4 linked regions of the Caenorhabditis elegans genome follow. The protein of the gene in region 1 interacts with the protein of each later gene in a pairwise test. Each region holds a gene or a part of one and is shown in the gene's direction. Other genes may lie near its edges. The genes, in order: itr-1, unc-54, myo-3 and gon-14.

What was found.
Region 2: the proteins of itr-1 (region 1) and unc-54 interact in a two-hybrid assay, tested with the Caenorhabditis elegans proteins (one study listed by BioGRID).
Region 3: the proteins of itr-1 (region 1) and myo-3 interact in a two-hybrid assay, tested with the Caenorhabditis elegans proteins (one study listed by BioGRID).
Region 4: the proteins of itr-1 (region 1) and gon-14 interact in a two-hybrid assay, tested with the Caenorhabditis elegans proteins (one study listed by BioGRID).

Annotation. Positions count from the first base shown.
Region 1 is NC_003282.8:7,671,423-7,678,974, forward strand, and holds the start of itr-1 (Inositol 1,4,5-trisphosphate receptor itr-1), read left to right. Parts: upstream 1-3,751; coding exon 3,752-3,830; intron 3,831-5,109; exon of another isoform or gene 5,110-5,259; intron 5,260-6,056; coding exon 6,057-6,159; intron 6,160-7,552. Other genes in the region: C08G9.2 (uncharacterized protein), read right to left, coding at 1-630, 1,089-1,158, 1,275-1,457. UniProt on the Caenorhabditis elegans protein: Receptor for inositol 1,4,5-trisphosphate, a second messenger that regulates intracellular calcium homeostasis.
Region 2 is NC_003279.8:14,859,562-14,866,880, reverse strand, and holds the start of unc-54 (Myosin-4), read left to right. Parts: upstream 1-3,398; 5' UTR 3,399-3,430; coding exon 3,431-3,493; intron 3,494-4,055; coding exon 4,056-4,184; intron 4,185-4,232; coding exon 4,233-4,373; intron 4,374-4,854; coding exon 4,855-5,311; intron 5,312-5,391; coding exon 5,392-6,176; intron 6,177-6,228; coding exon 6,229-7,319. UniProt on the Caenorhabditis elegans protein: Required for muscle contraction.
Region 3 is NC_003283.11:12,230,166-12,237,751, reverse strand, and holds the start of myo-3 (Myosin-3), read left to right. Parts: upstream 1-3,408; 5' UTR 3,409-3,451; coding exon 3,452-3,587; intron 3,588-3,971; exon of another isoform or gene 3,972-4,107; intron 4,108-4,162; exon of another isoform or gene 4,163-4,355; intron 4,356-4,656; coding exon 4,657-4,868; intron 4,869-4,937; coding exon 4,938-5,094; intron 5,095-5,141; coding exon 5,142-5,441; intron 5,442-5,539; coding exon 5,540-6,068; intron 6,069-6,132; coding exon 6,133-7,586. UniProt on the Caenorhabditis elegans protein: Essential for muscle contraction. Involved in ovulation likely by regulating the contraction of gonadal myoepithelial sheath cells.
Region 4 is NC_003283.11:6,604,277-6,613,961, reverse strand, and holds gon-14 (HAT C-terminal dimerization domain-containing protein), read left to right. Parts: upstream 1-2,803; coding exon 2,804-2,989; intron 2,990-3,037; coding exon 3,038-3,546; intron 3,547-3,597; coding exon 3,598-3,820; intron 3,821-3,871; coding exon 3,872-4,026; intron 4,027-4,075; coding exon 4,076-4,213; intron 4,214-4,260; coding exon 4,261-4,498; intron 4,499-4,548; coding exon 4,549-4,671; intron 4,672-4,715; coding exon 4,716-4,786; intron 4,787-4,901; coding exon 4,902-5,086; intron 5,087-5,132; coding exon 5,133-5,200; intron 5,201-5,626; coding exon 5,627-5,793; intron 5,794-5,840; coding exon 5,841-5,933; intron 5,934-5,978; coding exon 5,979-6,491; intron 6,492-7,056; coding exon 7,057-7,159; 3' UTR 7,160-7,529; downstream 7,530-9,685. Other genes in the region: ZK1055.7 (Protein F37C4.5), read left to right, coding at 8,589-8,729, 8,774-8,893, 8,939-9,173, 9,227-9,335.

The DNA of each region.
Region 1 (7,552 bases):
AATGTACATCGACACACCAACAAAACTGAATATCACATTGAATTGATGAGAATCGTCCGTTTCGTTCGCAAAATGGAACAAATTCATTTGGAAGTCTTTTATCTTTTAATTTCGAAATTGCTAGAACCATATGAATACATCCAGTTGCTTTGAGAGGTTCCATACAAGTTGATCCACATGCATTTTGACAACATTTATCAACACTACCACAATCCAAATCATTTGCACATTGTTTTTGATCAATGCATATTGATTTATTTGATGTTGGAGAAGGACATTGACCGACTTTTGTTGTAGGAAGTGGACGAATTGGTGAAGGAGTTGGAAATAGAGAGTTCGCAAGATTTCGTATCGTTGGTGGAATTGGAGTTATATTGAAATGAGTTGATCCAATATTTGATACAGCTTTAATGAGACGTTGAAAGGAACCAGGGATGTTATTAGATGATGAAGAAACTGGTTGAATTGGAACTTCTCTGTCGATTTGAAAACTTTTAGCAATTGGAGCAACACATTCTCGTCCACATCCGTTCGAGCAACAGATCAACCGACCACTACAATCAGAGTCTTTTTCACATCGAAGTGCACATATACCACCAGTTAATCGTGGGCATTCTTCTCGATTTGATCCTGAATCAAAAAATATGTAATGAGCTTTCATACTTGAAAACAAAAAATACAAAAATTATGTTATCAAAAATTCATTTTCAATTTTGAATTTTCAAAAAATTTATCTTGATTCTTGGAATTATCTTGAAATTAACTTTAATACATATGTACATTTCTTTTTTGTAATTTTGAAGAAATTAAATGCATTTTTTAGTTTTTCTTGTTAAGGACATGAGTTGATTTTTTATTTTTTGAGAAATTCTAATATAGAAGGTTATTATGTGATGTAACCGTTGTTCGTTTTTTTTTCGTTTTTCAATTGTCTTTTATAGAAAATCGAGAAAAATCTTTGGCAAAAAAGGAACAGAGTATTCACAAAAACGTGTCCGAATACTAGCTTAGCCGTGTAGTAGCCAGATAATTGTCACTTCTCTTCCCAAAAGAGACTGGTCACGCACCATAATTGGATGTACACTTACCGAACTTTGGAATGCAGCGTGCTTTCACGCCAATTGCAATGCAACTTTCTGATGGTCCACAAATTGTCGTCTAAAACATTAATATAGAAAGTAAAATATTATTAAGAACAATTATTTCTCGTTAAATATATTATAGAGTGTTAGAAGAATTCAAAAAAATATCAGAGATCTTTCAAAAAGCCTAACCTGGCAAGGATCCATTGCACATGTGCAGATACATTGTTGAAGAATATCTTTCAAATATCCAAAAGGGCATAATAAATTACAACTGGTTGGACGGAAAGGACATACATTTGGTACACTTGCCGGTAAAAGGTCTATAGAAGACGACAAAAATGGTTTCAGAATTAAAAGATACAGTAACCACATAATTGCTCATTTGACATCCGGAAGTGATAAGAATAAAAGATGTGATGGTCAATTTAGGATAGTAAAAGATGACAGGTGGATTGAGGGAAAAGAGACAGGTTACTTCTGTTGAGTGGACACATTGCAACCCCCGGCCACCACCGCCACGGACACGCCGCCCACTTTTGCGGTGTGAGGTGCGAAACTGTCTTCCGACAGATTTGTAAATATTACGAGGAAGTTGATGTAATACGGAAGAGGTCCACTGGATTTATGTGAATGAAGAATCAAAAGATTGTAAAATGTTTAGATATGATGAGCTACAGGGTCAAAGGTGATTTGATACACGATTTTCGAGCAGAAATGCTGACTTTTCGAAATCTCATTGTTGTTTAATCAATCACGGGATGTACGAAAGGGATCTTGGTTTTGGATTTTTGAAAATCAAAATATTACAGGAAAATATAATGCAAAACTAGTACAGACTGTGAAAATGTTTCTAACCTTGATTTCTGCTCCGTCCAACTGTGAAATTACATTGTGTGTCAATTTCAAAAACGGTACGTGATTTTTTAGTTCTGGTTTTTAAGTGAACTTTATGTATATGAGCTCTGAAAACAGGAAAATAAGGGAAAATTAATAAGGTAGTCAGAATGAAATATTGCAATTCGAACATAAGCATTTAGTTTGAAACAACCCGTATTTCCCTTATTAGTTTTGTAGCTTCTAGTTTGTCATGCACTGATTTTCCGACAGACCGGCTATACTCTGTGGGAATTTCCGCAAAAATTAAATTTAAAATTAATAGATGAGATGTGGTATGTAGTTTTAAAAAAGTCGATGGATTCAGAAAATGCTCAGAAAAATCCGCGCATTAATTTCCAAAACTATCACATTTCAGAAAAGTATCAAACATCATATTTTTGGAGTCCAATACTACTTCTTCATTTCTTTTTTTTTTTTCTTTTCCACTAGTTTTACAATAAAATATATTGTTTTGTCCTAATGAAGCACATTTCATTTTGTAATGTTTTTTAACTTTCTACTGTAGGATATTCTATTCCGTAATCGTACAAATCTTCTTTCTCTCCCAAATTTAGGCTGCGCCCTGTTTCAAAGCTCTGCTAATAGTACGCAAAACAAATGTATTCGCTAACTCTTTCGCTCATTTCGGTATAAGTGTCACTTGGAGATCTCTTCGTCTCTCGCAACCCGTATTTGTATTGTTTATCTTCCAAAATGGTAGTCGACTGCTCATATGAATTGAATTACTAGCGGGATATGAAAGAGACATGAGATTTATAAAAAGTAACTGAATATTTCAACTTTTGAAATTGAACTTGTATCATTTTCGAAACTAAAATGGAAAAACAGGAACGATATTACTTCATTTTTCCACTTAAAGATGGAGTAGCAAAATTTGGGTGATTGTTTTTAGAATCAAAATTGATCCTAAATACCTATTGAGACAACTTGAAAATGTCTCAAAAATTATTGTATTAGGTTAGTCATTCTCTAAAAGAAAACGGGCAACCCTTCAAGTATTAAATCATTTTGAGCTTGAAAAGAGAGAACATTGTTCATTAAAATTCATGTTTGGGCTCCTAAATCTACAAAAAATATCACATTTATATTTTCGGCAATTCTGATTTCCTGTAATCGACAATTTCAGCGATTGCCGAAATCGTCGAAAAGTCGATTACCGAACGGCAATTGCTGCATGCTATGTATCACACCGTTTCAGCGTTGTGTATCGTATTTGTTCAAAGATAATTTTCTTGTAAATCTCGATGTTATTGACTACTGCAGCTAATACATTTGAATTCCCATTAATTCCTTTAATTTGATAAGTGTGACTTGGTTCCCGTTGCCCACCATCTTTTGTTCCTTTCCTCCTATCTTCAAATCAAACGCATCTGGAATCTATTTTTTTCATTGTTGTCTGTCTACCGATGCCAACGATCTGACCTTTCTTAATTGGTATTCGCGCTCATTTTGACATTGTGTCAACTTCAACTATTTGCGCGGGTTTACCTGCAAAAAAGTAAACAAGAAAAATGGAGATGAAATGAAAGAATTTCCAATAGAAATTTGTTGTTGAAAACTCTCTGAACCATGAGACCGTCCAAGACGTTAACATCAAATCTTTTCAATTCAGAAACGTTTCCTCTTTTTCTCCTTTTGTGACACGTTTCCTCCGTTCTTTTTTGGAGAGTCACTATATTTTTAATACGATTTTGCTTTACAATTTCTTTTTTAAACTTTTATTGATTTTGTGCTTCTTATTTTCCATTTTTCATAAAAAGTATTCCAGAATGAATCCATCATATGGCCGGGTTCGTAAGAAAGTATCCATTATATCTATTCCAGAGTTCGTTCCCGAGCATTATGAATGTAAGTTTTTACATTAAAAAAAAACTTCTAAAATCTGCTTCAATTAACGATCTTATTTTTTTTCAAATTTTCACCGATAAACTTAAATCTAATTGATACGGTTAGCATTGATGAAATCACTGAAAAATGTACAGGAAACTCAGAACTTTCTCAGTTTCAATGTTTCTTTTTAACCTTAAAGGTTGAGTAGCGAACTATATTTATTGTTCTCAAAATTCAAAACCAACGTCTAAATAGTCTCAAATTGAGCCTAACTTATTTGGCCAACGCCCCAGAAAAAAAACCAACAAGAAACACTTAATAAAACCACCAAAATGTGTAAAATGGAAGTTAAAATTACCGGGCGCCATTTCACAGGATATGTTTTGTTATTGTTCGTGTTAAAAGTTGGTCCATAAAGTAGATTTGAATATAAAGCCAAACTTTTGAGAACCGGTTTTGATTTTGACTATGATGAAAGAGTTTTGAATTAAAAATATTTAAAAAAAAAACACTTTTTTTCAATTCTTCTAGAAAAAGTGCATTTATTGACTCACCGTTAGAGCATATCGATAAAACAATAGACAAATACAATCATATGGGACATCAACCAGCAAAACACTTTAAAACACATTTTTGTTCCCGGAGGTCTCTATTTTTTCTTGTCTTTCAAAAGAAAAGGGGCACCTGTAAGCGGCTTACGTACCGTCTTGGTTGTCTATTGATGTATGTGAGGCATATACATCTATTTCATGAATGTTTCAACAAACAAAATATATACCGATTGTTGTGTCTCTTTCTCTAATATTTTCCTGGTAAACGATATGCATAAATTTCTGTTTCTCTTTCCTCTTTCCACACATCTGTTCGTATTATTTTACAAAATGAACTTACAGATGTTTTTTTGTTGTCTCGTTGGCATCGTAACTAATCGAAAATGATTGATGTTCGAACACGAATATCATTATATTTATTGTCGTCTTCATCTTTTTGTCGAATAGTTTGTATCGTTGATTTCTAACATTAGACGTCATCGAATCGTTCATCAAATTGTCGACCTGATCAATTTCTTTTTCTCTCTATTTCTCTTTACACAACTTCAATCTCTGAACTGTAAATTCCAAATTCGATTAAAAAGGCTAGAGAGTTTGATCGTTCTGGTTTGTGACTGAATTATTTGATGAAAGATCTAGTACGATTAATATGTTCATTATCAAAAGCTAGATGATCATTATTTGCCATTTTAATTCAAAAGAGGAATGATCCAGAGACAATGCATGAAGGAAATGATAATTAACTTGAAAATTATTTGGTATAAACGCCTTAACAGGTTGTGAAAAATTTAGGAAAATACCGAAATCGACAATCATAATAAAACACTCCACAATTTTTGATTTGGTGAAATTTTGTAAATTGTAGATTTTTCAGAAAGTTTGGACTTTTTGAGTAATTTCGAGCATTGCTACAGATGTGAACCTCTAGAATATTTGAATAAAAATAATTTCAATTTTCATGAAATTCAAAATTTTATAAAAATTGTTAACAATTGCCGACTTCCAAAATAGGTGAAAAAATTAAGTAATTGTCACTGTTTCACTGTAAGTAAAAAACTTTGATAATTTTTTACAAAGCTCTGCTAACTATAAGATATCCGGTAATTTCAATATTATTGGGCTGATTTGAAACAACTTCCTCACTGGCGATACTTTTCATTTAACTGAGTATTAAAAAGCATGAGCAAGTTGCCAACCAACTTTTAAATAAAACATATTCCCGTTCCGTGTATATGTTTTTATATTGCCGTTTCTATTCAGTTTTTTGCTTTCCTTTTTTCCAACATTTTGCTCATAAAACAACGTGCTTCACAGCTGTGATTCGTTGCATAATCGTCTTCAGCTTCTCGCTCATAAAACCAAAATGTTTTAGATGTTTAGTTGTCACTTCATGGTTTTTTTTGTTTTTTTAAATAGCTTTTTTGAGTTCAAATCCTTGCATGTTTCTGAAAATTTACACGCTAACTAACCTATCACTCCTTATTTCAAAATTAAAAACAACTTCCTTAAAAAAATTAAAAACCGTGTCAAATGTGATTTGTGTAAAAGAGTGTGGTGTAGAAGTGACACAGATCGTTAAACTTTTATAGTCCTTTTGCTTTGAGCGTACCGTGCCGTCGATCATCCGATGTGAAGAAATTGTCTAAAAAATGACAAGAAAATGAGAAAATGTTTAGTTTTGCACAATTTTCAGACGAAAACGAAACGACGGCCAGTGGAGGTGCTAGTGGTGGTGGAAGCACACGAATTGAATTTGATTTTGATGATTTTGAGGAACAAATTATGAGGAAATCCAGGTTAGTTTGTATTCTTGAAAAATCGTATTATTCGAAGAATAAATTGAGTGTCATTTGGCTGTTTTGTTACAAATCCTGTTTTACTGTTATCAAAAAAAAAACAATTGAAAAAACAACGTGAATGGCGAGAATATTCCTGTATCAACAAGAAAAAAGAGCCTTTTCAAATTTGTTTGAAAAAGAAGAAACGCTGCTCATTCTCAAGTACTTTGTATATCGAGATGGTCTCCTGGTATCGGTATCACTTTGGAAAAAAGTACAAGGTCGCCGATATAAAAAGGGTGTAATGATCATTTATTTGAGGTATTTTTGATTGGAAAAAATTTTGGTAAACTATTCTCGAGTTATTTTTTTTCTCAAATCATATGTGCTTCTATTTTTGAATTAACTTGGAGATTCGAATAAATCAGTGAACTATTGCAAGCAATACTAACTTCCAATTAAATGTTGAAGTAATATGTATCAATTTTGAATAATAAAAATGCATGTGAACCTGATGAATTTGATTTAAATCTAAAGTTAATGATACGTATTCTTATAACCGATTTATAGTAAATCCTGGCATATCCAGATTCCAAGGTGTATCTCTTTTGAAGGGGAAGTAACAGTTTTGAGTTGTTGCTTGAATAGACTCAAGATTTTCTCAAAATACTGAAAATCACAACGAGAAATCTCGGAAAATTTTATGGCGTTCAAAATTATTTTTTGGTGCAGTCGCACAATTTGATAACCACCTCTAAATAAAAAAATCCCTATAAATTTTAAAATTTATTTTAAATTTTAAATTTTACGTAAATTTTCTGATGAAGTACTTATCGCAATTTGTGTTCCCATACTCCTTTTTTCCAGACAATGGCAAAACTAAATAATCCGTTTAATACTATTAGTTTGATTTTTTAGACTGATAATATTAATTTGCAAACTATCATTGATGATTCTCCTGTTTTAAACAGACTATTGTGGTTAGTTCCGTTTGTCACTTATTAATCCAGAGTTATGGACAAAATTAGATTGAATATAAATTTAAGTCCATTACTGAGTACCTTGTTACTTCCGAGTTTTCGAGTTGACCGAGAACAATATTTGGCGACCTCTGAAGCGTGACGGAGATGATCGAATATTGCTAATATATTTGTTGAACTGTTCATGAAGTTCGTTCATATTTTGATTGTTTCGGTATCATTTCTTTTTCCTTCTCCTCCATTTTTTTTTCCGTCACGAAACAGTGAAATGATTGTGGGCATATCCGCCGAGTAGTAGGCGGACAAGCAAAACGTCATGATATCACCCTTCTTTTTTTCGCCTATTTTCTGTGGTCACTGATTAGCTTTTGACAACCTCACTCCTCTTCATTTTTGCCCATTTTAACTCAAAACACCAACCCATTAACATT
Region 2 (7,319 bases), on another chromosome or scaffold:
ACTTTTAAGTTTAATTCAGCCAAAAAGTGGCAAACTTGTTGAAGTTTCTACAAAATATTGCTGGTATGGCAAAACGAGAGGTGCAAGACTATTATAGGCTGGAAGACTAATTTTTGATCCGTAGGGATGCAAAGCTACTCAAGGATATACGGTAGACTTAAAAGGGGAAAAAAGAATAAATCTAGTATTATTAGCCAAAACAATTGAAAACAAGAATGGATTGGATAGTCTGATGTGCACGCTTTCTGATTGATACACCTTTTTTTGTCAAGATAACAATCTAATGTACACTGAAGGGTTGTATAACTCGGCAATTTGGTTCTCCTACCTTTCGCACTTATTCACTTTACTTCGCCTTTCTACACCCATTTTTTGTGCACACCGCCACGTTCTCACCCTTGAGAGGGTGCCTTTATATCGCACATGTTCTCCTTTCCTTTGCACTTCCTCTGCTATATTTCGCCAAAATAATCTATGCAAAGAAAGTGCGAAAGGTGGAAAAGGGCGAGGGAAAAGAGAACCAAACCGCCGAGGAAGAACAGCTGTTTTGGTAAAAAATCCGACTATTGTGCAACTCCTATCTTTGATGTCCATTCGTTATCGACTTCAACATCTTCCAAAGATGAACATTGAACATTTTAAATGGTACAGCGTTGAAATAATATTTTCTCATTTTATTCAAAGTCAGTTGAAATAATTCAATGCAGTTGTTTCTAATATTTTGACAAAGGTTGCAATCTCAAGTTTTGCATTTCCAGTGAAGGCATTTTTGATACTTGAATAAACCTGTAAACAATGCTTCAGAAGACTATCTGAAAAAATGCGCTCCATTTCGATAGCACCATTTTTCAAGAGCTATTTAACTTTTGCAACTCGCATTACATACGTTCTCGTTTCCCATGCTAACAGAAAATTAAAAGTATGTTGAAAAACACATTTTTGAATAATAAAACATTATGTGCCAATGTAAGTCCGCTTGTTAAAATTATCATCTTCTTTAGATATTTTTTGAATGGCATATAGGGCATTTATTTGAAAAATTTCATTTTTCGCTTTATAAAAACATCGTAAAATGAAAAACAAAAATACTTGATATAATTACCGAATAAACCCTTCGATCGACTCAGTTAAATATCAGTGTTGTATGTGTGTGTGTGTGTGTGTTGTCATCATTTCGTTTTCCGATGCTTCCTCTTCTTCTTCTCCATTCCGTATTACACAAGACTTGGAGGGGAAGAAATGTCGGTGGCAAAAAGAAAGAAGAGTTACGGATATAAGAATTGAAGCAATCGTGCAGTGTGTTTTTGTGTTGTTTTTTAAGTTGTAGAAGTATCAAAATATAGAGGAATTTATGAAGTCACCGCTCAAATGTGAATATGTTAACGAATCTAAAAATGGTTCGGTAACCAGTACTAAAGAAAATATGGTTAAACTGCGACAGCCACTAGTGAAATTTTTCCACCTGCCACTTAGTCAAATCTGTTGAGCTTAAACTGGCTCGTCACTGAGGCTGGGTAATACAGGAAGTTTGGTTCATTGTACAGTTGGGTTTACATTTAAAAGAATATATCACAGAAAATCAAAGAACGTGTAATTTATCTTATCATCCCGGAAATTTCTTCCAACTGACCCTTGGCTTTTGTGTATCTCTTATTACAATCAAAAAACCTCGTCTCCTCCCGGTGGAACCCAGAAAATGCTGCTGGATGCTCCAAGCGCTCCCACATGCCTTCAAACTCCTAGGCGCCTGGAGATAGTGTTGCAATCAAGGAGAGCGCGAGACGAAGAATCAGTTGTTACTTTTGTCTGGGTCTCTAGGGGTTTCGTGATATTCCCGTGTTGTCTTACAGCATCCGCGAATTGTTTTCGTCAGGATGAAGTATGAGATTGTGGGATTTGGAGAGAAGCTGATTTGCTGGAGAAGCACAAAAATCTGAAGAAAATGTTTGAAGAAGATAAAGCAAACGGAAAGACTATCCAGTTACATACATACTATCATGAGAATGATTTATGAGCCTTTTCGTAAATTTTTAGACAGATACTATTATCAGGAGACCTTTTAAAGCAAACGCGACAACTTCATAGTAGTTACCAAGGCTCGAAAAATTGATTGGTGCAACTTGAAGTTCGAATGAGTAGAATTGATAAGTATTACAGGTGCCTCCAAATCGATTGTCCGCCACAATGATATACCTCGAATCCATCTGATCAAAATTATTACTGTAGCATTGAATCGCAGTACCGTAATCAAATATTAAATATTTTTGCCCCCCTCTCCTCTACGTATCAATAAAAATAGTCTTAAAACTTACTTCGACTCCAAAGTAGGTTAGTATCAATTTTGCAGACTTTATTTGTAATGCATTTCTAACAAGGAAATTTTTACATTTTACCCTCAAACTTCAAAATGAGACATGTTTCATCTGAAGTGTTTTAGATTATGTCACGAAAGGTATGTCACTGCAAAATTTTAAGCAGCAATACTTTTCTCTCAACCCCTAAAATATCGATCTGAAATTGTCTCATTTAACCACTACTTTAGAGACCTGCATAATTGCTCTAAATGCTTTTTTGCAAACTTTGAAAGTTTTTCAGGAAGTGTAGGTAAACACTCCGGGAGGTTTTTAAAGAATTGTGATTTTTTTGGAGAATTGGTCTAAAAATTTTTTTGATTTTTTTTTTGAAAGAATTGTTATAACAATTTTCTTGATTTTTTTGCAAAAAAAATTAAAGGAAAACTGCACTGAAACAATTTCAGATCAACAATTTTAGGGTTGATATTAGAGCTTTGCCGCTTAGAATACTGCAGTGAGTATTTTCGGTTTTCACTGGTCTCTGTAAAAAGAGTAATGCAAAGGCAAGTTAACTAGGTCGTAAATGTATTGATTTGCTTAAAATCTGAAGATCTAGTGGTGAACCGTGGAAGATTATCAAGAGGAGGCTGAAGATCTGTTTAAGAACCATTAATCAAACTGGTATTCTATTTTCACTGGTTGTATGTAAACATTCTATCTTATTCCTTTTATCACTGTTCTGCACTTTCCTATAAAAAAAGTTGACCGACCGTACTCTCTGAATTCATTTTTCCCGATCTTACCAACTCCCGATCTATCTCTATCCCTGGTTTTTTCTTCGTGCTCCAATGGAATTCTTGAGACTTCCACTATCTTCTCTGGCACCCTCCACTACGCGTAGGCGTCTCTCGCTTCGTGTATTCCCGGGAAGCCGGGTTCCCGTCTCTCCCGCCGCTGCCGCTGCCGCACACAGCTTTACACCTCGTAGAATCCCCAAAGAGGGGCGTGGCTTGCGGGTGCCAACATCCTCCTGCCGAGGAAGAAGCAGGCACTCATCACTCGCATCATCAACCTCGACTAAGGGAGCACCACATTAGTTTTGAGGTAGAGAAACCATTTGAAAGAAGCGAGAAATCATGGAGCACGAGAAGGACCCAGGATGGCAATATCTCCGCCGTACCAGAGAGCAGGTTTTGGAGGTGAGTATTTATTTTTTATTTATTTATTTTTCTTTCATTTGTCTTTATTGTTATGCTCATTTCTATAGAGTAAATCGTATAGTACTCCATAAGTATCTAATTTTAACAAAACTGAGCATTTATTTTTGAAATTCTAGATTTTTAACATACAACTGAGTTAAAGTCTGCCATTTTACACTTATAGATTTTTTAAATTCAGGTAGAAGATTTGAGCTTGCCTTGTAATCCTTGTAATCAATGTTTATTTCTGTTTTCTAATTTTTCATAGATTTAGCTTCAAGATCATCTTTCCCTTGAAATCATTGAAATCTTCCTTTCTTAAATTTTTGCATTGCACTTGGAATTTTGTGACACATTGTGCTGCAGTAGTACTGTATTTTGAGACGGCACATTTATTTTGACTACACCACAAGCTTAACCTTGATTTTACTTTTTGATTCCATTCCATTCATGGGTCTAAAGTGTGAAGCGGTTTAGACCATTTTTCAACACAAGTTGGTATTCTTTAGAAGTGATATATTTCTGAATTCTGATCTCTTTTGTACCATTATTGTAATTTCAGGATCAATCTAAGCCTTATGACTCCAAGAAGAACGTCTGGATCCCAGATCCAGAAGAGGGATACCTTGCCGGAGAAATCACCGCCACCAAGGGAGACCAGGTCACCATCGTCACCGCTCGCGGAAATGAGGTTCGTTTTTAAGCTAATGATTACGGTTTTCAATGTAGTGTGATTCAGGTCACCCTCAAGAAGGAGTTGGTTCAAGAAATGAATCCACCAAAGTTCGAGAAGACCGAAGACATGTCCAACTTGTCTTTCCTCAACGACGCCTCTGTCCTCCATAACTTGCGTTCCCGTTACGCTGCTATGCTCATCTACGTAAGTTTCATTGAAACTTAAAGTTAAGCATTGAGAATCATTCATATTCTTCTTCTAAATTCCCATAAAATCCCGAAACTCCTTCCCTCTATCTTCTTTTCTTCTCGTTTTCAAATGTTTCTCTCTATCCCATTCTCTCATCAATTGAGTGGGATGAGGCTATCTCTGCCTCTCTTCTGAATCTCTGAACCATCTTACATTACACTGTGGATGACGGGAGCCCCACAGGCTCCCTTGCATCAGATACTGCCATTGGGGATGGCAAAGAAGAGAGAAGGTATTGTGAGGATATATTTTTCTAAGAAAAAACGTTTGAAGAAAAGAAGATGAAGAAGATCTGCTTGATTCATTGCACAAGTTAGAAGTAACAGGGGTCTATATTTCGAAGAACTTAAAGGGAATGCAACTGAACATAAAATTAAACAAAGGGATTGAATCCTGCAGTATTTAAAAATCGAAACTAGAATGTTTCCTATTTCAGACCTACTCCGGACTTTTCTGCGTTGTCATCAACCCATACAAGCGTCTCCCAATCTACACCGACTCTTGCGCCCGTATGTTCATGGGAAAGAGAAAGACAGAAATGCCACCACATTTGTTCGCTGTCTCTGACGAAGCCTACCGTAACATGCTCCAAGACCACGAGAACCAGTCTATGCTCATTACCGGAGAATCTGGAGCCGGAAAGACTGAGAACACCAAGAAGGTTATTTGCTACTTCGCCGCTGTCGGTGCCTCCCAACAGGAAGGTGGAGCTGAAGTTGATCCAAATAAGAAGAAGGTCACCCTTGAGGACCAAATCGTCCAGACCAATCCAGTACTTGAAGCCTTCGGTAACGCCAAGACTGTCCGTAACAACAACTCATCCCGTTTCGGAAAGTTCATCCGTATCCACTTCAACAAGCACGGACGCCTCGCATCTTGCGATATCGAGCATTGTGAGTTACTTTTTGATTTATATTCTAGCATAGCTCAATAAAAATTATGCAACTATTGTTTTAAACTATAAATTTTGCAGACTTGCTCGAGAAATCTCGTGTCATCCGTCAAGCTCCAGGAGAGCGTTGCTACCACATCTTCTACCAAATCTACTCTGACTTCCGTCCAGAGCTCAAGAAGGAACTTCTTCTTGACTTGCCAATCAAGGATTACTGGTTCGTCGCCCAGGCCGAGTTGATCATTGACGGAATCGATGACGTCGAAGAGTTCCAACTTACTGATGAAGCTTTCGACATCCTCAACTTCTCTGCCGTCGAGAAGCAGGATTGCTACCGCCTCATGTCCGCTCACATGCACATGGGTAACATGAAGTTCAAGCAACGCCCACGTGAAGAGCAAGCTGAGCCAGATGGTACCGATGAGGCCGAGAAGGCATCCAACATGTACGGAATCGGATGCGAGGAGTTCCTCAAGGCTTTGACCAAGCCACGTGTCAAGGTCGGAACCGAATGGGTATCCAAGGGACAGAACTGCGAACAAGTCAATTGGGCTGTCGGAGCCATGGCCAAGGGTCTCTACTCCCGTGTGTTCAACTGGCTTGTCAAGAAGTGTAACCTCACTCTGGATCAAAAGGGTATTGATCGTGATTATTTCATCGGTGTGCTCGATATCGCCGGTTTCGAAATCTTCGACTTCAACTCCTTCGAGCAGTTGTGGATTAACTTCGTAAACGAGAAGCTCCAACAATTCTTCAACCATCACATGTTCGTCCTTGAACAGGAAGAATACGCCCGTGAGGGTATTCAATGGGTCTTCATCGATTTCGGACTTGATTTGCAAGCGTGTATCGAACTTATTGAGAAGGTAAGATTGAATTGAAATTTTAAATGTATTTTGATCAATTCTTATTTTTCAGCCACTCGGTATTATCTCCATGCTTGATGAAGAGTGTATCGTACCAAAGGCTACTGATTTGACCCTCGCTTCCAAGCTTGTCGATCAACATCTTGGCAAGCATCCAAACTTCGAGAAGCCAAAGCCACCAAAGGGAAAGCAAGGAGAAGCTCACTTCGCCATGCGGCACTACGCCGGAACTGTGCGTTACAACTGCTTGAACTGGCTCGAGAAGAACAAGGACCCCCTCAACGACACCGTTGTCTCGGCAATGAAACAATCCAAGGGAAACGATCTTCTCGTCGAGATCTGGCAAGACTACACCACCCAGGAAGAGGCCGCCGCTAAGGCCAAGGAGGGAGGTGGCGGTGGAAAGAAGAAGGGAAAGTCCGGATCTTTCATGACCGTCTCTATGCTCTACAGAGAGTCTCTCAACAACTTGATGACTATGCTCAACAAGACTCACCCACATTTCATCCGTTGTATCATCCCCAACGAGAAGAAGCAATCTGGTATGATCGATGCCGCTTTGGTTCTCAACCAGCTTACCTGCAACGGAGTGTTGGAAGGAATCAGAATTTGCAGAAAGGGATTCCCCAACAGAACCCTTCATCCAGACTTCGTCCAACGTTACGCCATCCTTGCCGCCAAGGAGGCCAAGTCCGATGACGACAAGAAGAAGTGCGCCGAGGCTATCATGTCCAAGCTCGTCAACGACGGATCCCTCAGCGAGGAGATGTTCCGTATCGGTCTCACCAAGGTCTTCTTCAAGGCTGGAGTTCTTGCTCATCTTGAAGACATCCGTGACGAGAAGCTCGCCACCATCCTCACCGGATTCCAATCCCAAATCAGATGGCATTTGGGTCTCAAGGACCGCAAGCGCCGTATGGAACAACGTGCCGGACTTCTCATTGTTCAGCGCAACGTCCGTTCCTGGTGCACTCTCCGTACCTGGGAATGGTTCAAGCTTTACGGAAAGGTCAAGCCAATGCTCAAGGCCGGAAAGGAAGCCGAGGAGCTCGAGAAGATCAACGACAAGGTTAAGGCCCTCGAAGACAGTCTCGCCAAGGAGGAGAAGCTTCGCAAGGAGCTCGAGGAGTCCTCTGCCAAGCT
Region 3 (7,586 bases), on another chromosome or scaffold:
TTCTCGAGTCCCAACAAATCGATGAGTCGCTGGATTATCCGAATAAAAAAACCCATAAAATAAAACAGATAACACTAGCAATCGAGTGTACGTAAAATGAAGATTCCCATCCAAAAGATGTTGTGCAGAACTAAAATATGGGAAACTGAACAATTAGTGAATTAGTTCTTCCCACTTATGCTGCCTTTAGTAAGTAATAAAAATTCAAAACTTTAAATTTTATACTAATTCTAGTGAACCTACCCATCCCGTTAACGAATCCGTAATTGAGGTGGCAAACGGTGAGAATATCGTTAGAGCAGAGACGAAAAATGCGTTCTCGTCAAGCGGAGCCCATTTCATACAAATTATTCCAATAACTGCAAAGTCTGCTGCATAAGAAATTCCTTGAAAAAATCGAATGATTAAAAGTAGATAGAAGTTGGTTGAAGCCATTGTGGGAATTAATACAGTCGATATAAATGAGAGAATTCCAGCCGAGAGAAATGTGAACCTATTGGAATAATGTTAATATGTATTAGAAATTACTTCCAAAAATATTTACCTTGCTCCAAATTTAACATAGCACCAATTATATGGAACAGTTCCTAGTACAGTTCCAATTGCTACCGCCCATATTATTTCTGCTTTTTCATCACTCGAATAGTCATAAATATTGTATTCAGTCTGGAAATAGGCGTTAACTTTTTTTTGATTCAGTAACTTACTCCATTTGGAGATGTCCTAATACCAGATGAGTCATTCTTCATACAAATGAATGTAAAATTTATGACTGTATAGTTCGAAAATATACTCATTAGACAGAAAAATGCAACAAACATAATTAAAAATCGAAATATTGGAATATCTTTTACCATTGTAGGCAATCAGTCAAACCGAATAAAAAAATAAATTCTCAATTACTTCTCCATTCTGAACTATTTGAACTGTTTGATGAAAACCAATGAAACAAGTGATTATAGTCTCTGTTTTCGTTAATTTTGAATTTTGCTTGATAAGGCTGCAACAAAGATCAGGTTGACATATATTTTCAGTAATTTATTTTAACCTGTACTCTATCACTGCCGGCTATAATAAGTTCTTGAATAAAATAATTTTCCCGACAAAACATGAGTATTTCTTTCGAAAATAAAAGTGCAGGCTAATTAGAGATTATTCTGTAATTAACTGCATAATTTGTCACGTGCCATAGTTTTACATTCCACTACGTCATAGTTCTTAAAATACTAATCTCCTGAAAATAGAAGTAGGTGAAGAAAGTTTAATTATCAGTTCTAAAATGACAATTGATCTTTGGAATATGTTCTGAAACTACCGATCATTGAACAGATGCTATTTGAATGATATAGAATTGTATATTTGCAATTTCTGAAACGCGTTCTTAAAGGCACACAGATTAATTCAAAAGGGTCTGGCCGCAAAAAGGTTTATGGTGGCCGATTTTGAGTTTTGTGTGTGATTGCTTTTTCACAATCAGTGTTTTCAGGATTATGTGATGAACTAGATCTTCAAGTTTCGTTACATTTCATATGTTTTCGGAACTCACGAAGTACATATTGGGTATTGTGCTCAAAAAATTCAGCAATCAGCTTCGCTCCGCTGACTTTAGAACCCAAAAAAATAGTATGGCCAAACTGACTGTGTTACGATCATTTCAATTTTTCAATACATATTTAAGATTTCTAAGAGTAAGAAGGTCAAAAACTGTTCTGGAATACATATATATTTTTCAGGTTACAATTAGTCAAAAAGTGCACTGAAATATACGTTTTAATTTCACGAATAACCCAATTAGTTCAATGTATTTTTGGTCAACCAACGTTAAAGTTTGGCTTCCAACCAATTATCATTTCTGATCAACCACAATGTTTTTTCTTTATCTGCAAGTTAATTTTTTATTTTTATCCAGATGTTTGGCATATTTTTCAATTCTTCACTAGCGCCCACTTCTTGCACTTCCGGCGCCCTGAATCTAATGCATCTGTTGCAAGAATTGAAAGACCAATCAACACATTGTTTTCTTCACGAGATACTGAAGAAAATGAATAAAAACAGAGAAAAAGAGCCATGTGATTAGTGACAACTGTTGCTAACAGATACCATAGCTTGGACTTGGTACGTGATGGCAACGTATGGGTCAACAAAAATGATTGCAGAGGGGGTGCAAAACAGTCAAGTCGAGAAAATATGAAAAACAGAAAACAAAGAACAGAAAAATGGGTTTGAGAGTCAGTATAATTTATAAAAGAAAAATTGTACATAGAAATTAACCATTTTTGTAGAAGAAGTTATTTTTCAAGCATCGTTAAAAATTATTCAAAGCACCTTATTTCATATTTAATTTTAAACATGGTTAAATGAACAACACGGTGCGCAATCAGGAAAACTTGAAATCTGAAACTGTTGTTGTGATCTTCTTCGCAACTGTTCAGATAGCACTAGTGTAATGTTAAGAGTGCGCGAATATAATGGAATATAATGGATCACACCTCCTGCCATCAGGTAAACGTCTCTGTTATCACATATTTCCAACTATTAAATTTTTACCTTTTACAGTTTTACATTTTTTTGAAAAAAGTAACTTTTTGTCTTCAAAATCCCTGACGAAAATATCAAATATTTTAATCGAGACTGCAGAGGAACCGATTGATGATTTGGAAAATCCAGCTTTACCTGTGTAAGAACTGAAAAGTTTCATAACCCTAGGGTATTCCCAGTTACATTCCCCACTGGCTAACAATAGCACCCAGTTTTTCATCACCTTTCTTCAAATTTCTCGGCGATTTGTTAAAAACAAAATTTGTGTCCCTTCTCTGATATCTCTATGTCTCTAAACACAAGTTCATCGGAAAACGAAGGAGGGTAGGTGTTGGTTGGGCTCCCGAAGTGAAAATAGAAGAGCAAGAATAGAATATTAGAGAGAGAGTGCAGAGAGGGCGGGATAGCTCCCGGGATTCCGTTTTCTTCTTCTTTATCTTCAACGATGATGTGTGTGCGTGTTGTATAGATTCTGTTGCTCCCCCACAACTCGCTCCGAAGGCTCAATACAATTCAATTGATATTGGAGGAGAGCCTACCGGAGTGGGAGGATAAGAAGAAACATAAGAAGAAGAAGAAGAAGAAGCATGCTTCTGGTTTTTGATGCTATGAAAACGGCACAAAAAGATGATTGAGGTCCCTTTTCAATACCTTCTCTCATCTTTCAAATCCCATTGAAACCTAAAACTTCTCACCACGCTTTACCATTGTTCTCCAAAAACTTATAGCAATGTCTATAACTTTTTTATCTCTGAAAAGCAGTGTTCCATTTTTCTTTTTCCTATTTTATTTCAATTGTTTCTCACATTTCGTTTGGATTCTTTGCTTGTCAACCAGCTTCTTCTTCCACTTTTACCGTCTAATTTTCAGGGCAGGGAGCCATCAAACCCACGACCACTAGATCCATCTAGAAATGTCTGGAAATCCAGACGCATTCGAAAATGATCCAGGATTCCCATTCTTGGGAATCTCGAGAGAGGCCAGAGCTGCCACTGCTGCTCGTCCTTTTGATTCCAAGAAGAACTGCTGGATTCCGGATCCAGAAGATGGTAAGTCTTGATTTCGAATTGAAAATTTTAAAGAAAAATTTTGAACCACGTGCTGTAATATTTGGCAAGAATATTTTCCCATAATTTTAATAGTAACTGTGATATGTTCTAATTTTAGAAATCAGTTGTCAACGCTAAAAATGTAAGGGTTACAATAGTGGTATTGCAAAGAGTTATGATGGTTAAGTTTGTAAATACTTTTTTTCTGTTAATGAAACTAATTTGGATACAAATTTTTCATTTGATCTAAACAGAACATCTTAATCAAAAAACACTTTAAAACTCTTGCTTTGATATTGTTTGTTCAATTTCCTAATTCTTACCAAACCAATTCAAGCTAACTTTCATTATGTCCATTCCATTAACAAAAACTATTATTACACCTTCTCTCTCATCGCCAGTGTCCACATTCATCCTACTCTCCTACGCTTTCATCTGTGTCTCTCAGATCTGCATTTTATCTATGATACATCACACTTTCCACCGACCCCGCCGGGCAACCAGTGGTGGCGGATTTTTGAACATCTGAGGTTCTCTCATCTCTCGGTCATCTGATGAAGCACATACACACATACACACAACGGCACTTTGTAATCTTTCCGGAGAAGCGGGCAGGCACACACGTACGCTATGAAGCCGGAGCAAGAGCTTCTCCTGCCGTTTGAACTGCGGCTTCTGCTGTTGGCAGGAAAGATGATGAGATTTCTTGGAATTTAAGATTGAGATATTTGACGTCCCACATTTTATGGATGGACAACAATATGTACATGTTTTGAAGATTTAATATTGAAATGTGGATATGAAATCGGAATTTAAAAAGTCAAGGTCAATAAAATGGTAATTCTGACCAGATCTATTATTCGAGGATGACAAATAAAACTAGGATTAAATCAAAAATACTAAATTTGAAAATGAAAAAGAAAAGATTGTTCTATAACTTATAAATCTCACAATAATGATTTTTGTACAGAAACAAAAACTAAATGACATAATCGAATAAAACATTCTGATTTTAATCAGCCGCATGCGACAAAACATATATTTCTTGGAGGCTAATATTAAATTTCAGGATTCGTCGCCGCCGAGATCCAATCCACCACCGGCGAACAGGTGACCGTGGTAACTGTGAAGGGAAACCAGATTACCGTCAAAAAAGATCAATGCCAAGAGATGAACCCGCCAAAATTCGACAAGACCGAGGATATGGCTAACTTGACCTTTTTGAATGAGGCCTCTGTTTTGGGAAATCTCAAGGATCGTTACAAGGATTTGATGATTTACGTAAGGAAATTGAAACTATTCAAAAAAAAAATTAATACTATTCAAAAATTGAACCGACTTAATTTTCAGACATACTCCGGACTTTTCTGTGTTGTAATCAATCCATACAAACGTCTTCCAATCTACAGTGAATCTGTAATCAAGCACTTCATGGGAAAGAGACGTAATGAGATGCCACCTCATTTGTTCGCTGTCTCTGATGAAGCTTACCGTAACATGGTTCAAGGTATGTGAAAATTTAATTGTTTTAGAACTTTATTTTTCAAATTTCAGACAAGGAGAACCAGTCTATGCTCATCACCGGAGAATCTGGAGCTGGAAAGACTGAGAACACCAAGAAGGTTATCTCCTACTTCGCTATTGTTGGAGCCACGCAAGCTGCTTCCGGCAAAGAAGCCAAGGATGGAAAGAAGGGAGGTACTCTTGAAGAGCAAATTGTGCAAACGAACCCTGTGTTGGAGGCTTTCGGTAATGCTAAAACTGTCAGAAACAACAACTCTTCCCGTTTCGGAAAGTTCATCAGAACTCATTTCTCTGGATCTGGAAAGTTGGCTGGAGGAGATATTGAACACTGTGAGTGATCTTTTATGATTAGTTTTTAAGAAAAAATGAGATTGGAGGAATTTAAATTGAAACTAGTGAAACCATTCAAAAAAGAAAAATATTTTCAGATCTTCTCGAAAAATCTCGTGTCGTCCGTCAGGCACCAGGAGAGCGTTGTTATCACATCTTCTACCAGATTATGTCTGGAAACGATCCAAGTCTCCGTGGAAAGCTTAAGCTTAGCAACGACATCACTTACTATCACTTCTGCTCGCAGGCCGAGCTTACCATCGAAGGAATGGATGATAAGGAGGAGATGAGACTTACTCAGGAAGCTTTCGATATCATGGGATTCGAAGACAACGAGACTATGGATCTTTACCGTTCCACTGCTGGAATTATGCACATGGGAGAAATGAAATTCAAGCAGCGTCCACGTGAAGAGCAAGCCGAGCCAGACGGTGAGGAAGATGCTCTCAACGCTGCTGCCATGCTCGGAATCCAAGCTGAGGAGTTCCTCAAGGCTTTGACCAAGCCACGTGTCCGTGTCGGAACCGAATGGGTCAATAAGGGACAGAACTTGGAACAGGTCAACTGGGCCGTTTCTGGACTTGCCAAGGCTATCTATGCCCGTATGTTCAAGTGGATCATCACCAGGTAAATAACAAAGAGCAAATATTTTTAATTAGGGTAAATATTATTCTACTTATTTTACTTTTAGATGTAACAAGACCCTTGACGCAAAGGAGATTGAGCGTAAGCATTTCATCGGAGTGCTTGATATCGCTGGATTCGAAATCTTCGACTTGAACTCTTTTGAACAGCTCTGGATCAACTTTGTCAACGAACGTCTTCAACAATTCTTCAACCATCACATGTTCGTTCTTGAACAAGAAGAATACAAGCGTGAAGGAATTGCCTGGACCTTCATCGATTTCGGACTTGATCTTCAAGCCTGTATTGAGCTTATTGAGAAACCACTCGGTATCATCTCTATTCTTGATGAGGAGTGTATCGTTCCAAAGGCCACTGATATGACCTATGCTCAGAAGCTTCTTGATCAACATCTTGGAAAACATCCAAACTTCCAGAAGCCAAAGCCACCAAAGGGAAAGCAGGGAGATGCTCACTTCGCTATTGTTCACTACGCTGGAACTGTCCGTTACAACGCCACCAACTTCCTCGAGAAGAACAAGGATCCTCTCAACGACACCGCTGTCGCTCTTCTCAAGCACTCTACCGACAACTCCTTGATGTTGGATATCTGGCAAGACTACCAGACTCAAGAAGAGGCTGCCGAGGCTGCTAAAGCCGGACAGACTGCAGGAGGAAAGCGTGGAAAATCATCTTCATTCGCTACCGTCTCTATGATCTACAGAGAGTCTCTCAACAACTTGATGAACATGCTTTATCAAACTCACCCACATTTCATCCGTTGTATCATTCCAAACGAGAAGAAGGCTTCTGGAGTTATTGACTCTGCGCTTGTTCTTAACCAGCTTACATGCAACGGAGTGTTGGAAGGAATCAGAATTTGCCGTAAGGGATTCCCCAACAGAATGCTCTATCCAGATTTCAAGCATCGTTACGCTATCCTTGCCGCTGATGCCGCTAAGGAATCTGATCCAAAGAAGGCTTCCGTCGGAATCCTTGACAAGATCTCTGTTGATGGAAACTTGACCGATGAAGAGTTCAAGGTTGGAGAGACCAAGATCTTCTTCAAGGCCGGAGTTCTTGCTAAGCTTGAGGACTTGCGTGACGAGATTCTTTCTAGAATCGTTACCATGTTCCAATCCCGCATTCGTTCTTACCTTGCCAAGGCCGAAGTTCGTCGTCGTTACGAACAACAAACTGGATTGCTTGTTGTTCAACGCAATGTTCGTGCTTGGTGCACACTCAGAACCTGGGAATGGTTCAAGCTTTTCGGAAAGGTCAAGCCAATGCTCAAGGCCGGTAAGGAACAAGAAGCAATGGGAGAGCTTGCCGTAAAGATCCAAAAGCTCGAAGAAGCAGTTCAACGCGGAGAAATTGCTCGTTCCCAATTGGAATCCCAAGTTGCCGATTTGGTTGAAGAGAAGAACGCATTGTTCTTGAGCCTTGAAACTGAAAAGGCTAATCTTGCCGATGCTGAAGAAAGAAACGAGAAGCTCAACCAACTCAAGGCTACCCTTGAGA
Region 4 (9,685 bases), on another chromosome or scaffold:
AATTTCATAATGAAGAAGAATTAAAGATTTCCGAAGCGAAGGGGTCTTCCTGACAGGTTGACCATCTACTCATTTCTGTAATTCTTTTTTAATTTTGGAAAAGATTTTTGGAAAACCAGCAACATTTTTATGTGCAATTTTCATAATTATATGTGGGGTTTTCAATACTTTTTGAACCGTTCTATATACTTCCAGAAAACCTGAAATCTTACTGCAGGCTAGTATATTTCCTTCTACATACCTCATGACACAGAAGCCGTGGCAATACGTGGATTTCAAACTTTTACGTCACAAAATTTTATGTTGAGGATTCTATGTAGAAAAAAAGTGTTATGCGCCCAAAGTATCAAAAACACGAATTGCCACAGTTTTCAGAAGTCAATCTGAAATGGGACAAGCTAGGGTTCATAAATAGGACGTCCACATCGTTCTCGATTTTGATACATTAATTTTATTAACAAAAATCGATTATTTGGGCCAATATTATCTAGATACGGATTTGAGCCTGAAGTTTCCTGTTAAGAGGACGCTAAGCACACAAAATTTAAGAGGACGACCTAGTATGTCCTAAATAACAGCCATAGGAGAAGCTGTCAAAATTGACAGCAGACAAACTCCGCATCATATCTTTTTTATAGATGTTTTATGAAATATTAGCTTATTTATTTGAATTTAACTTTTTAACAGTGGGTTTATTTTCGAATTTAACAGTGGGTTTATTTTTATATTTTATGCCTGAATTTGATTGAACTGTGCCTCCAATATTTTATTGCTTCTCGAATGTTTCCGATTTTCCATTTTTCGATGTTTAAACAATTTTCTACCATCCGTCCAATGATAAACCTATTTTCTTCTACCGTTTCACGAAATTTGCTTTTGATATCAAAATGTCGTTGAAGTATTAATTCCACAATTCTTGTTTACAGCGTGACTCCTGACGTGCTCAAAGATGAAAAAATGGGGAGAGCAGAAGTGCGATATTAGTTTCGATAATTTTTTTTCTATTGAGTTTCTATGTATTAGTCAGTTTCATGAACCGGTAATGAACATTTGATTTTAAAAACTGTACTTGACGTCATGTGTATCAACGCCTTGAAAACAAACTTCCGGATTACAATGAAATTAATGAAATTTTCACATGATAAGGTTTTGAAATACTACACAGTTCAGGCACATTAAGAATTTGAAAAATATATGTATACTGTCTTCAGTTACGACAAATATAATTTCAAGGTGACATGTCAATGGAAAATTGCCAGATGGTAAATTGCCGGGAGGCCTAATATGTAGGTACAAATAGGTATAAATATAATAATGAAGTACAAGATGAGGAAAATGTCTGAAATTTGTCTATAGCAGCAAAAATTTGAATCTATGCAATAGGTCATATATTTGAGCTCATAGAACTACGAATTTTCCCATTTGGTAAAAAATAAATTCAGACTGAGTCTTCATTTACATTTTCAGGAACACTTTAACGATGAATTAGATCGGAAATTTTTTCAGTGCAATGGGTCAGCACTTTAGAGACCCCCAAAGTTTCTCAAAAATGTTGATTTTTGAAGCGCTTTGATGAATTTAAGAATGATTGTAGAATGTCAAATATGCTAGAGGCTTTTAGGAATTTTTTAAAAATAAATCTGAAACGTTTTTCATTCAACTCGATCAAAAAAATTTCCGATTTTTTCTGAAATATAAAAAGCTTTGAAAACAGCTCAAGTTGTTCCAAGAATCACATATTCTTATCAAAATTAGACATGGAGACAACTTCTATAAGGCAGTTTTTAAATTAAATATTTAGCTGAAAAAAATTTCTTTAAAAATTTCAGAACAGTTTGTCAGAATTATATAGGAACGAATATATTCTCCGGTTCACAAATGAATGCTCTATTGCATTTTAAATTATGGGCAATGGTCCTGCCACGACTGGAATGTTATCGTCTGCCGTACCAACAGCGTTGGACCACATCGATCGATGGTAGTTTTTATTAACTTTCAGTCATTTTCTTATTTTAATTTTATATTTTTTGTCGAAAGCAATTTTTAAAATTCATGAGTATTCGATGGTTTGTGATAAAAAATATTTTAAAATTAAAAAGTTTTACATATTTTTTTAATTGGAAAATATTTTTGATTTTTTTTTCTAATATAAATTCAGAAAAATTCTTGGAAGAAATAATTCGCTAAAACCTTTCTAGACTTATAATTTTTCATATAATCCATACTGTCGTTTGAACATTTGAAAAAGTGGGCACGGTAAGAAAATGTACGCAGTCTCATGACGGTGTTTGCGTACTTGAACATTTCCGCGTTTTCCATGGCCACAGTCAATTTATTCGGGGCATTCTTCTTTGTTTTTATTTTGATCTCTACAGATTTCAATCATTTTCCACTTTAATTCATGTCTCAGCAATTTTTATTGCACTTTTTAAATGAAACACGTTGATTTTCGTATAAGAAGTCTAAATTATTTCACTTAAAATAATATTTTCAAAAATGGTTTAAAAATCTATATTTTACTTTATATTTCAAAAATATACACTTAAATATTCAAAATACAAGTATAATACTTCTGATTTTCAATTTATTACTGTTGCGCCCAATATTCGCGCATGTGATACGATGAACAATCGTCTGCGATTTGCCGTCGCGGTGTTTGCGAGCCACAGAAATAAATTGTTCACAATTGTTTGCGCGTCTCTCACAACAGTAAATTTAATGGTTTTTCGCAAAAAATTTTGGGTTTTCTGGAAATTTATCGTTCTCTCTAAAGTTTTCATCTTTATTACGAAAAAAATTTCAGATGCTCTACAAATGCTGTAAATGTTTGGCGCTGTTGAATAAAAACAGCATGGTTATTGTCCCCAAGGATCCTGAGAATCTGAAGAATTGGATGGAAAAGTACGATTTCCAGATAAAAACGATAATGGCCGGTTCAGTTCACTTCCTGTGCAAAACACATTTGTCGGAGGATAAATCTGTCGAAAGAGTGAGGAAAATTAAATTCTTTGGAAATATGAATTACTTTTATTTACAGATTCCCAGTTCCTCTGTCGAATCAGCTACTGAACAATATATGTTGGAGATCAAAGAAGAGGAACCTTATTCTCAAGCTGGATCATCATCTGAATCATGGCCAGAAGTTAAAGAAGAAGTCATTGAACCTGTAGAAGAAATAGACTACGATCATATGCCATTTGAAATAGAGCAAAACAGTTATGAAACTTTTGATGAAAGCAAAAGTTACCACAATTCCTACGAGTCCGATCATCATCAACCAACAACGTCAACCTCAGCGACACGTGCAATCCGCAGACCTACAACAAAATCGCTAGAGTTCACAAATCTCCCGACTTACCTACAAGAGCTGTCTGATGGAGAAATTTTGTCGTTTTGTGTGAAAACCAGCAGCAATTTGAGCGGTGCAACCTCGTTGGAGTGCGGGATGTGCGAAGAGCAGTACTTTAACAGTACGGACACTCGACCGATCCGACATCATTTAATTAGTAGACATGAAGCAACAATGAAAAAATACAAAAATCATTTGTAAGTTCCCGTAGCTTTTAAAATTGTGTTCAATTTTATGTCTATTTTCAGTCCAATAACGGCAGCACCTAAAATTTATGCACCAATTCAACAAGTGACAATTGACAGAGCTGATCAAGCATTGACAAAGTTCTTTATAAAGAGTGGAATCCCACTGCGAGCAGTTCAAGATCGTAATCTAAATATGCTCGCGTTCAACATGAATTCAGAATATTCTCTTCCAACTGTTGAAACGATGCATTCATTTCTCGAGAAAATTGCTGATGCCAAAGCGGTAGGGAAGAAGGGAATTTGAAATAAAAATTCAAATATAAATGAATTTCAGAACGCAAAATTGAATTTCGACGATAGTCCAGTGACCATAACATTTGACACGACGACTTTCAACAATCGTCACTATCTGGCTTTTACAGTCCATTACTATCATATAAGGTCGCGCATGAGACGATGTATTTTCTTACGCGAGTATGATATGACTGGGTACGTTCAGTTTACAATAATACTTGTAACTTTCTATTTTTTATTTCAGCCCAATTGTGCCATCCGTCATGACTGCGATCCAGAAAACAATAGAAGAGTCAGGTTCCCGATTGAAAATCACCACTGTTGTAGCGGGAAAAGCAGAATTTGAGGATGCTTTAGAAGATATGCACTCGTTCAAGCAAGTGTAAGTGAACAAATCGTTCATTTTTTTCTCAAAATGAAAACTTTCAGCATGATATGCTTCTCCCAAAACATCAACAAATTCGCAGAGACTCTCATTGAGCATCCTGTCTTTGCTGGACCGCTTCAAAAGCTTCGAGACTTTATCACGAAATTTCCCACTCATCGAAATTCTTGGGGCAAATTCAAGTCCTATATCGTGAAGAAACGTACTTATGGAGAATATCCCGAAGTTGATAATGGTCACTGGATTACTACGTTGGATTTTATCACAAAGTGCCTTCACATGGTATTTGATAAAACAGCTAATCAGTCAGAAAATCATTAAACCATTTTCAGCATCGACTATTCAGTGAGTTTGTGTCTACAAGTGCACAACTTCAATATATTGATGTCGAGGATAATGTAAACATCGTATATCTTCATAGTTTGTTGAATCTATGCAAAAGTGCACTGAAAGAGGTAAAAAGAGCCGAACTTGTACAATTATACAGTATGTAATTCAGATGGTCGATGTGAAAGCAACGATTGCGGACGTAATTCCAGCCATTGCAGATATCAGTTTCTCTTTAATAGTGTAAGTCATAAATTTTTATTTTTTAAAAATAAGTTTCTCAGCATAGTCCGTATATTTAAGTAACCGTATAGTATTGTTACACTTTAAAAAATATTTCGAATCGTCAATTTTCCAGCACCACGAGTAAACAAACAGTCGTTGACGCTGTGAGCACGATCTTCAATCAACTTCTTCTTCCATTCGTCGAGCAATCAGATATACATCGCTTCGCTTTGTTCCTTCATCCTCTTCGTCATGGCTCTGATCTCCTTGCATCAGCCGACTGGATGAAAATCAAAACTGATTTATCCAGTCATTTATGTTGGTTTTACTACTTTTAAATTTTATATTTAAAATAATATTTCAGCTCTCCGTGAAGCAGCTGAAGCCACTCTTGCACATCCATCGTCATTCGACAATACGATAACTGCAGATGTAAGGAAAAATTATTTGAAGGCGCACGAATTCATTCTGATGGGTCTCGTCGCGCAAAAAAGTTTATGGTATTTTTCTTTAATTTTTGTGACTGCTTCCTCGTTTATTTTCCTTACGGTTATTATGTAGTTTCTAGCGATTTTTGCCGTTTTTATTTTTCTGTTAAACATGGTTTTAAATATGATTTTCTAACCTTTTGTCGGCCGGAAAAATGTAGAAAACTGATTTAAAACAATGTTCAACAGAAAATTTGAAAAACCACAAAATTTGCCAGAAATGAAGTAATTTCCTTGAGAAACGAGAAGGTGACCGGAAATATAAAAAAAAACTTCGAGACCTATCTGTATAAATCTTCGCTTTTTTAGGAAGGCATGTCAACATTTCTAGAAATCACGATATTCATTCCTATGGTATATATTTTTACAGAAAGAGGTCAATGCGTTCTCACAGTATGTGTGCAGAGTTACTGGTGTTGAAACTGGAATCATGGATTGGTGGGCTCGTCACGCCGGTCGCTTCCCTCGTCTGTACAAATATGCCAGAGAGCTTTTCATAATTCCAGCGTTTTCGATTGATGCCGCTTATTATCTCGGGTTAGGAAATTTTATTCGCTTAATTTCAATACAGTTGACATTTACAGAGAGTACGGTATCCTTACACATTCGATCAACGAATCAGATATCTCAAAAAGGAAAATGCTACTTCGTGCAGCGAGTGAATTAGTTGAATATCGGTAATTTTAATTCTTAGATCTCCAAAACTCATTATTATTTTATAGCTCGAAGGGATCTTTGATGTGCAAACCAATTTGCGTAAAGCGAAGAAAAGACGCCAATTCTCCTGAAGATGCTTGGTATCATGCAATCGATGTGAGAGCTCTACAGATTGTAGATGTACCATCAGACGAGCCTCCAAAACGAATGATTCCTCAACGAACGCCATTTGTGTATCAGAATCCAAACCCACTTCCACCGCATCGAATTCTACAATCGTTTCCCACAATTCGAACAAACAGAGAAGCACCACATGGAAGAAGTCTGAAAGATGAAATTGCAAAAATCGCTGCGAATAGACAGAAGATTCAGAGAGTGTACACTGTTGCTTCATCATCGCCGTACGCGAGGCCTGTTGTCGTTAAAACCGAATCCAAAGAGGGCATTGTTGAACAACTGACTCCATCGGCTCCTCCACCGAAGAGGTACTACGCAGTACGACCTGCGGCAGGCAATGGAACAAGTGTGATTCGCGGAAAAGATGGTCAAGTATTACGAGTTATCAGAAATACCCCTTCGTGAGCTGATCAATTAAAAAAAGAAAATATTCGATTTTTGAAATATCGAAAAAAAATGTTTCAGAAAATATTTTTTTTAAATCAATGTTTACGTTGATGAGAAAGCATAATAAAACATGAATATTTTCTAAAAAGCAGTGAAATTATTAAGAATTTTGAGCTATTTTTTGAAAAATCAAAAAAAAATTTCGAAATATCAGAAAATTGAAAGTTTTCGATTTTTCAAAAATTAAACAATTTTTGGTTTTTAATTTTAGTGAGAAATCAAACAACCGACATCCTTGTATCAAAGGTGTCGCCATAAAATGTTCGATTTTCCGGTATTTCTCATAGAAAATAGAAAAAGTTGTTCGGTTGTTTTTTTTTGGAAATAAAATTTTATTCAAAAAAAATACGAGGAAAGTATGTATAGATTTATCTCTCAAATCAGAGAAATGACATTATTCATAAAAATGAAATGTTTTCCAAAAGATCGAAAAACAAAATGTTCGATTTTTTAAAATAAAATTACATCCTTTCTGCTGATACCATTATTAACCTAAATTAAATATATTCAACTTTTCAGAGTCTCCTTCAACTTAAACACTCCTCTGACTGCATCGAAAAAGATGTATTTCATTCGTACAAAAACTGGTGTTACCCATCAGCTACATCAACCTCCACAATAATCCCAGCTCATACATCTGTACCTCAATTCACTTTAGTTATTTGTCACTAGTTGGTATTTTCATTGTTTTGTTTTTGTTATGCTACTTGTTTCGATATATCCGCATGTTGTTTCAAATTGACTATGCTAACGTTTTCTTTTCTCATCGACCAGTTTACTTCCCTGTTCTGTTTAATAGTTCTCAATCATGTTATTTTTCTCAATTTTTCTGAAGAGTATCTTATCATTTCTTTTTTTCTGTATTCCCAACTCACCTTGACATTTCTGAATTGTTGACCCAGCAAGAAACTTTGCATACCCTCTGACTGGTATTTCATATTTTTGGGAGAAAAAAAACGTTTCGAAAATTTGTGAATTATTATGTGAAAAAAAAAAAAAAAAAATTATCCTATCGCGTTTTCCTTTCTGCATCTAAGTCTCCAATGAGTCAGCACAAACACATTGCGAAACATTTTCTGTCTCTTTGGTATAAATAGAGAGTTTCCTCTCTTTGAAATGATTTGAAGGTTTTACTGATATCAACGTTATGAAATTTAGTCATCTCGTCGCGTTTCTTTTCGAAAAGTTTTGAATATTCAACTTTACGTTTTTTAGTTTTGGAAATTTCAGTGTGTTATTTCAGTTTATATAATGTTTCTGAATTTATTACAACACAAAATTATGAAAATGCGTAATGCGCTATCTGACTATCTGACGCGCAAAATATCTCGTAGCGAAGGCTACAGTAACTCTTTAAATAACTACAGTAGCTGTGGTGTCGGTTTACGGGCTCGACTTTTGAAACGTATTTATTCTCGAATAGTGATAAATAGCGATACTCTATTTTTCTTCGTTTCTTCGTATTATTTTCTCATTTTTGCTTAATATGATAAATTATATCTACATGATAAGTCAAAATGATCCCGTAAATCGACACAGGCGCTACAGTAGTCCTTTAAAGAATTACTGTAGTTTTCACTACGAGATATATTGCGCGTCAAATATGACATTAATAATATTTACAAAATACAGATGTTTTTTAAAAATATCTTTGTCTTTAGACAACTACTGCTATAATCTCTCATGCGTATATCGTATATTCGTTGAAATTTTAAAATTCAGTTTAAAGGCGCACACTATTTTTCTGTGTAGGTCTCGCCACGATCTCAGCTATAGTGATCGCTACAAGCTTCAAATTTCATGCATTGGTTCATTTAATGTAGAAATGTACGACCAGTTAGAAAAATACCAAACCAATATGTTGAATAAATTAACTTCAAGCCAGATTTTCTACAGTAAACATTAAGATTGTATCACCGTCCGTAAATCTATATATTCTTAGAAATGCAGCGATATTAATGATTAACAACAATTCGTGATATATACTTTCGTTATTTTAGAATTCCTAATATTTGAAAATACACACCTCTTAAAAAGAGTCATTTTCAGAAATGACCACCAACCCATCTGTCCACGAGTTCGAGACTCGTGATCTTAAAATTGCCGAGGTGAAAGTATTCACTGATAGAGCTGAAATCCGTCGTCTTGTCAAAGTTTCATTGAAATCTGGTGTCAATGAAGTTGTTCTCAAGGTTTGTAGAATATGAACAAGTTTTTCAAGTAGTTTTGAATTTAGAACCTCTGCAAAACAATGGCTCAAGGATCAATTAGAGTTGAAGGAAGAGGAAATGCAATCATTCATGATGTAGTTATTAAGAATGTTTCTCGTTTGCCAACTGAAGCTGATCCTCCAAAGGTTGGCAAGATAATTAAAATTCGAAAATATATTCTTTTTTTTAAGATCACCAATCTCAAAGCTGCCATTCTAGAGGAGAAAAATCGCCTCCAAAAAATCACAGATCGCGGAACGGTTGTCCAAAAATGCGTTGACAATTTGGACAAAGTTTTCGAACAAGTTGGTGGGGGTCTCGTGAATCCACCAAAAGATGGTGTTGCTTCTTTAAATGAAGGAACTTTGGAAAGTCTTACAAATTTCTTCCAATTCTATGGGAGCAACTCCGAATTATACAGAGAAAGTGAGTTTAAACGATAAATTTGAGATTTTAAAAAACTTAATTTTTTTTTCTAGAACTACGATCAGTTGAAGCTGGACACCGTGAGCAACAGGAAAAAGTTTCGAAACTGGAAAACGAGTTACGAGCTCTAATGCACAATTTGAATGAAGAAGCGTTCTCTCAGTGAGTTTTTGAAAAGTTTAAGGTGGAATTGTGCCAGTCGGGGAATTTACCAAAATATACTAAAAATGGGGCAAAAACAACTTTATATGTCTTTTCAAATCTTTCTTAATCTTAACTCAAACTTTTGGCAACATACCAAATTTTGAATCATTTAAAAAATTTGAAAAACTATCAAAAAACCCATAAAAATTTGAGGCGCACAATGAGCTATGCTTTGCTTTCTATGCACTATTTATTTTCAAATACAAATGGGATTACAGATAGATTTGAAGATATGCAAAAAAGCATCCAACCCTAATAAAAATTCGAAATATTATAAAGAAAAGTTCCATATGATTTTCCATCTATTT